Linked DNA regions of Ovis aries. The protein of the gene in region 1 purifies or fractionates together with the protein of each later gene. This does not show direct contact. Links are inferred from orthologs where the notes say so. Each region holds a gene or a part of one and is shown on either strand. Other genes may lie near its edges. The genes, in order: PTPRO and SDF2L1.

The links.
Region 2: the proteins of PTPRO (region 1) and SDF2L1 purify together in Homo sapiens (affinity purification with mass spectrometry; 3 studies listed by BioGRID and IntAct, with this or other methods). This does not show direct contact. The link is inferred for Ovis aries from reciprocal best matches to the Homo sapiens genes PTPRO and SDF2L1.

Annotation. Positions count from the first base shown.
Region 1 is NC_056056.1:199,965,318-199,968,903, forward strand, and holds part of PTPRO (receptor-type tyrosine-protein phosphatase O), read right to left. Parts: intron 1,434-3,586; coding exon 1,329-1,433; 3' UTR 1,313-1,328; intron 46-1,312; exon of another isoform or gene 1-45.
Region 2 is NC_056070.1:72,150,126-72,154,118, forward strand, and holds SDF2L1 (stromal cell-derived factor 2-like protein 1), read right to left. Parts: upstream 2,550-3,993; 5' UTR 2,525-2,549; coding exon 2,338-2,524; intron 2,054-2,337; coding exon 1,857-2,053; intron 1,068-1,856; coding exon 786-1,067; 3' UTR 624-785; downstream 1-623.

The DNA.
Region 1 (3,586 bases):
AAAACTCTGGGAGCAAAGGGGGATGGGTACACATCATGTTCTGTCCTGTGAATGAGGGAGAGAGAGAGAGAGAAAGAGAGAAAGAGATGGTAAGTAGCCTGGGAGAGCAAAGCTACTCATCAACAACCCTGTGGCTGGACGTGCTTTCTTTGATCACTTTCTGACTCCATCACTAGCTCTCATTACACTCAACCCCACAGCCCACGAGGATGTGGATTTACCTGGGCATCTTTCTCTGTGCACATCCTCCTTTCTATGGCTCTGAATGCCTTTCCTTCTGCTTGCAAATTTGTCTCTGTCTGTCTTCCCATGGAGAAGTGGGCTACAGTTCATGAGATCTCAAAGAGTCCTTCAGTCATGTCTGAAGCGACTTAGGACACACACGTCTTCTCTTATTTTTTATCCTTCCTGCTTCCTCGTGCTTCCTGTCTCTCTTTGTTGACGGATGTAAAGGACCAATGCTAATCCTATGGTGGTACCCACTGGTCCATATCCTTTCATGTTTCCACAAGGCACCCCTCTCCTTTCTCTCCCTGTCAGTGGTGCCCCCAATACCAATATATTCAGACACATGCCATGCTCTGTTTACCCAATTGAATCTTTTAAGATTATTTGTTACTTTAGGCACAATTATTTGCACCTCCAAAATCTGATCTATGGAGAATGTGAGAGCAAGGTATTGACTGTGGTATAATTTTTTCAGGATGTCCTCAAGTAACTGCTCATATAACAGATGAAATCAAGGCATTTCCAAACTCCGATAACCTGAGACTATTGTCAATATTGTTTTTCTTCTTTGGGAGTGTTGACTTCAGCTCATATTTCCTTTGTAACTCTTTCTATGGCACTTGTAGTCAACAAAATATTTGCATAAAGTATCTAGACAAATAGTGATGGTGGTTTAGTCGCTAAGTCATTTCCCACTCTTTTGTGACCCCATGGACTGTAGCCCACCTGGTCCCTCTGTCCATGGGATTTTTCCAGGCAAGAATACTGGAGTGGGTTGCAAGTAGGGTTGGATGGTAATATCCTGATTGGATCTGCAGGCACAGATTTAATATCAGAGTAATTTAAGCTTTAGGCAGGAGGGAATAGAGCTCCAATCTTTGTGAGTTGCTGAAGCTCCTGCATTGCCATACTCACCAACCAAGGCACACTGAAGCTCTAAGATCTGCTACTGTCTCTTTCCCTATGGCCAACTCTGTGGGGGCAGAGTCAGTGCAAATAGCTGCTGCCGCCTTTGCTTTATCCCATCATATCCTCTCTCACTGTTCTAAGACAGGGTGCCCATGATGGGGTATTCTCTACTTACTTGTTGGGATTCTGAGCTAGGAATTGCTGACATTCTCATAGATGACGTCACTGATACAGAACTGCTGCTTCTTCTTCATCCACATCAGTTGCACACACTGATGGATAAAAATGTACTGCTCCTGGAGCAAAAGATAAAGATGCTTTAGAGCAAGGTATCTTTATGTAACGACCTCCCTGGAGCCAGTGTTTAAGATTCTGTGCTTCAGCTGCAGGGGGCATGGGTTCAATCCCTGGTCAGGGAACTAAGATTCCACATACCACGCGGCAAGGCCAAAACTAAAAAAAGATATGTTTGTGCAAAAAATAATATTTGTAATACTATGGGAGTATTAAATACTATGATGAATGTCAAAGGAAACAATCTTCATTATTTGTAACATACAATTTCAAAACTAGACGATCCAAGAGAATCAACTGTAAAAATATTTTGTTTAATAATAGGATTTAGATTACACTACTTAATGCTAAAGGCAATGAATATTCAATCAGTAAATCATGGGGCTTTTTCAAAAAAAATTGCACATTGCCTCATAATACACTGAAATAAATTCCAAGAAGCTTAATAAATTAAGCCATAAAAATATAAAGGCATATATAGATTAATTCTTCTCTGATTACTTTATGGAAGGGCTTTCTAAATTTTTTTTGGCCATGCCATACCCCATATGGGATCTTAGTTCCTGGACTAGGGATCAAAGCCACACCCCCTGCATCAGAAGCACAGAGTCTTAAACACTGACTTGCTAGGGAGGCCCCTGGGCTTTCTAAACTTTAAACAATGAAATAAATTAGAACAAAGATGTCAAACTGTTGTATGTAAAAAGTAGAAAAAAGAATAACATAAAGGGCAAAATAGAAACTGAGAGGGAAAAATATTTTCAAGAATTATGACAAATGTCAACACCTTTATCTCTGTTTAAAATTCATCCATATCAGTAACATACACACTTAAATTGGCAAATAGATAAAATCTACTAACCACTAAGTAAGTAAGTAAGTGAGTGAAGTCGCTCAGCCATGTCCAACTCTTTGCGACCCCCTGGACTGTAGCCTGCCAAGCTCCTCCATCCATGGGATTCTCCAGGCAAGAATGCTGGAGTGGGTTACCGTTTCCTTCTCCAGGGGATTTTCCCGACCCAGGGATTGAACCCGGGTCTCCCACATTGGAGGCAGACGCTTTAACCTCTGAGCCACTAGACCAAATATTCCTGAAAGGCAGGGCCTGGGTGTTTTTTATTCCTAATACCCAGCACTTTGTTTGTACTTCCTAAATGTTTTTTAAGGTAAACTGAGAAAATATTAAAACATGTACAAAAAATGGCCAATAAAAAAACTGTAAACTAAAACAATTATTTTTTTAAATCTATGAAGTGAGTAAAGTTAAAAAGTAGCATTCAATGATGATTTGAATTTGTTGAACCAGCCATTTTTAACCAGTTGGTGGAGGTACAATTAATAAAATGCTAATAAATGACGTTGTGTGGATGGACAGAAGTAAGAAAGCAGGAAGGAAGTGAGGGAGTATTCAGTCTTTAAAATGAGATTTATAGAGTTTTAGGCAATTTAGGATGATACACATGGCAAAATCTTCAGTGAAAATTCAGAATGCAAAATTATGATATGTCTATAGAGCATATGAGTACAATCACGTGAACGTTATACTTGACTAAGGCCGAGATGTTGTTATTGCTGTTGTTCAGTTGCTAAGTCGTGTCTGACTCTCTGTGGCCCCGTGGACTGCAGCATGCCAGTCTTCCCTGTCCTTCACTATCTCCCGGAGTGTGCTCGGATTCATGTTCATTGAGTCAGTGATGCCATCTAACCATCTCATCTTCCACCAGCCCCGTCTCCTTCTGCCTTTAATCTTTCCGAATACCAAAATGTTGACAGTAGCTATCTTTATCCCATTTCCTTTTCCCTATTTCCCAGACTTTCTCTCTAAGTAATACCATTAAAAATGATCTTTAAATAAGAACCAGTTAAAATATCCGCAGGATTTTAAGGAGTCTCTTGTTTGACAACTTCATGCAAATGATGAGGCTAAAGACTTCAGACTTCCTTGGCTTTGACTCACATGTATTTTTTTTTTTTAAGTTGGGAGAAAATATATTCCCTTATTTCATGACAATATCACATCAGTAACTGAGCTTCCCTTTCTCACTATGACATATCCCTCCACAGTCTCCGGTGTTGAGTCAAGCACAGGGCATTGATAAGGGCAGAGAATGCCTGGTTTCTCAACCCATAATGACACAGTGGTAAAACTTTGTGT
Region 2 (3,993 bases), on another chromosome or scaffold:
GCCTGTAATCTCTGCCATCACCTCTAGAGGGCACCACGCACCAGCAAAACTGCTATTACCGTCCTCTGTCAAGGGCCAGCCGATTTCAACACTTTGACAGCTCAGTGTGACTCTTCTTCCAGGAAGCCTTCTCAGATGTCTGCAGGCGGCAGTCCTCTGTGGTTATCTTCCCTTGCAATACCTTTTTAAGTTCTGTTAGGGCCTCCGGGGTTTGGGGCCAGCTGAGTGTGTGGGGTGCCGATCTGCACGGAGACAGGGATCTTGCGATATGAATCTCCACCAGATGGGCAGAGTCCTGGCCCAGTGCTTGGTCAAAGCCAAGGGTCCAGACTGTCACAACTGCCAGGGGAAGGGATGCCCTTCAAGGGACGAGAGACTGGCCAGCTTGTGCCCATCCCAGCTGGTAGGGAGCAGGGCTGCTGCAATCTGCTGAGACCTTAGCCCTTCTCAGGAAGGTTCATGGAGCTGGAGGCCATCTGAGGGTGGGGGGAGGGGGCTGTGATGGCCCCGGGCAGTGTTGAGAGTGCACAGAAGAGCGTCCGAGAGGTCTGGATGGGTTCAGCCACCAGCCGTGCTGGAGACAGAGCTTTCACACTGAGGAAGAGATGCTGAGTGGGACCAGCTGGCAGCTTCAGGTCAGCCCCAGGCTCACAGCAAAGTGCGACCAGAGACCAACATTCTTTAATCATAAAGGCACTTGAGAACCCCTACAAAGCCAAAGTCCCCCCGGAGAGTCGTCTGCAGACAACGCCCCCCGCAGCCCTCCGCCCCCCGGTCCACAGCGCTCAGAGCTCATCGTGGCCCCCAGGGGCCTCCGGGCTGGGCTTGATGAAGACGCCTTCCATGGCCTTCCACTTATTGTGGGCGCTGGCACTGGCCATGCCATGCACCTCATGCTGCCCCCGGATTGGGCTCCCGTACTGCTCACCAGTGACCGACAGGAACACGGAGGTGCCCACGTGCTGGAAGCGCACGGCAGCCTCTCGCTCCCAGTGCAGCCCTGAGCAGCGCACGGTCCACAGGTCCAGGTCGTCCCCCTCGCCGTCCTCCCCAAAGGCGCTCACCTCCTGTGGGGGCAGAGGGGGTGAGGACCGCAGTCGTGACAGAGGGAGCCCTGAGGCCCCTGCGGGCCCCTGCCAGGCAGCGGCACTCACTTCCCTATACCTCCCCCTAATACTCAGCTTCCACAGCTGCCAACTGCGACCACCCCCCCAGCCCTGAGTCCCCCCAACACGGGCTCTTCAAACACGTGCACACCCCATCTCACCTACCTGGGTGGCGACCACTGGCCCCCAAGGAGTCAAGGCCTCCCCCACTCCCTCCTCCTCCAGTTCCTTCTGTCTTAAACCCTCTGACCTTCACTCAGCATCATGTCTGCCACTCAGGCTGACAGTCAAGGTTCTATTATCTCATCCTTTTCTTTGGATAAGCCCCCAACCACCCTCTGTTCCAGCCCCACCGCCCTCCCAGTTCCAATGAACTCGCACACAGGCAGGCTCTTGTCCAGGCCTGGGAAGACGCCCATCTCCTCCCTGGATTCCTCCTCATCCTTCCAGGGCCGGCCTGAGTGCCTCCTCGCTGCGGAGTTTCCCATTCTCCACGGCAACTGCCGTGTGGATCCCCCTCCTGGGTCCAGCTCCCGCCCAGGAGTGGAGCTCTCCAGCCAGACGGCTGTTCCAGCTGTGTCCCCGCGGAGCTGAAGGCTCCAGGGGGTAGGCGCCGGTGGGGATCATCTCTCTGTCCCCAGAGTGGGCGCCGGGCAAACGCTTCTAACTTGACGCTCCCATTTCACAGAGGAAAGCTGGGGCTCTGAGCAGGTGCCCAGGCCCCGCGGCTCACAAGCCAGGGGGGCTCACCTGGTTGTTGGTCAGCGGCGACGGGAAGTGGTGCGTGTGCAGGTTCTTGCCGGTGAGCACGTGCGTCAGCCGCACCGCCTGCCCGCAGCGCACCGGGGACCCGCGCGGACACCCTCCCTCCGTGTCGCCGCGGATTCGCCAGTAGCTGTTGGCGTCGTCGGACGCCTCCACGCCGGTTACCGACTGCTGGCCGCTGCCTGGGGACGACACCCCATCCCCGGGGTGGCCGTCAACGTGGCAACGCCGACCGTCGCCCCGGACAACCTCCGCTTTCCCGACGGCCTCGACCCTGGGACCCAACGGCTCCACAAGCCGCTCCCCGCCCCCCGCCCGCCTCTGGTCGCACTCCGAGGTCCACCGCTCCGAACGGCGTCCCGACCGCGCCCTCGAAACCGCCGGCCTCCGGCCCTGAGGACCCCCAGCCCCCTGGCCCGCGGGGACCCAGCGCCCAGCCCGCCGTCGGGCGGCCCCGGCCGCGCACCGGATCCGTATTTGATGTCGTGCGAGTGCAGCCGCACCCGGTGCTGCGTGTTGAACAGCTTCAGCACCGACCCGCAGGTCACGAGCCCCGCGTCGGTCTTGGCGGCACGGCCCCCCGACAGCGAGAGGGCCAGCAGTAGCCCCAGCAGCGCCGGGCCCGCAGCTCGACCGCGGCCCGCGCTCCACATCGCCCCGGCAGGGCTCCGGCAACTCGGCCAGCGGTCGCTTCCGTCTCCGCCGCCGGCCAATCCGGACTCCGACAGGGCCCGCCGCAGCAGCCAATCGCCGGCCTGCACGGCGCTCCGCCTCTGCTGCCATTGGGTCCGCGCCGGAGAGACCCGCCCCCAGCTTCGGCGAGCGGCGGCTGGGAGGGCCCTGGCGACACGAGGAAAGTTTTGATTGGTCCACGCCTCCGAGGGCTGACCAATGAGGATCCAGGGGAGGCCCGGGCGGCTCCAAGCCGCGGGAGTGCTGGATGCCCGGCGGCTGCCGCCTAGGGCGCCGCTCTAGCGCCCGCCGGGCTCCGGTTCACCCTATCACCTTGATCCCAGATCCCCTGGCCCTCAGTGATGGTGTCCCCCTCGGACCCCGGGTCCACAGCTGCAGGGTCTTGACGTTGCTCGACTACTAGATTATGTGGTCACCAGTGGACACATCTCGGATTACGCAGTCACATGCTCCTTCAGTCCCTGAACCTAATCCTCCAGTCGCTCGAACAGTGCCCCCTGACACTGCGTCACATCGGTGTCCCTGGACCCTGGGGATTCTGAATTCCCTGGGCCCTTCCAGGGCAGAATCTCATGGTCTCTAGGCCGCTGGGCAGCAGAGGGCAGCAGGGAGCTGTGGTGTAGAGGCTAGCAGTCTTCAGAAGACCCTGAGCTGCCTCGGGAAGTGGCTGCAAACCAAGCCTGGGTGACTGTGTGTCCCAGGCTGGGGACTCACTGCCTTCTCAGAGAGCTGTCTGCTCAGTCCTGTAAGGGGGGAAACTTACACCGCTGTTTATTTATTCATTCGTGGAATATTCTAAACTTGACTTCACTCCAGGCCCTTCAGTTCAGCCCAGCCCAGGAATCGGCTGACTGCTCGGCACTTGGGCACCAGCAAAGCAGGGAGGGAAAAAAAAAAAAAGTTCATGTTTGATTAAATCATCCAGAAGTTAGCATTCAGAAAATCCAGGATAGAGTCATTTAAATTACAGCAATGGATTAGTTTTCGGGTTTCATATTCCCCCTGACTTGGTGCTGATCAGCTAGCTTGTGGGCTGTTAGTTCCCTGACCAGGGATCAAACCGGCGCCTCCTGCGGTGGAAGTGTGGAGTCCTAACCACTGGGCCACCAGGAAGTCCCAGTTTTCAGGCTTAACATTGTCTTTATTTGGAATTCCATGTAGGACAAGGCGTCTTGATCTTTTCAACACTCAGTGTCTAAAATGCTGTCTGCCCTGGATTTAGTAGATCCTACCTTGGAGGGGCCTCCAAACCAGGCAGAGGGGCTAGAGTGCAATCCAGACACAGCAAGGAACACCTCAAGCGGGCCAGACCAGAACTCGCAGCCTCCTTCCCACTGCTTTGCCCCTAGGCTGATTTTGAGTGACGGCACCCTTTTCGCAAATTCACAAGCTCTTTAAGCCCCAAACCGGGGACTCATCTTCGATTCCT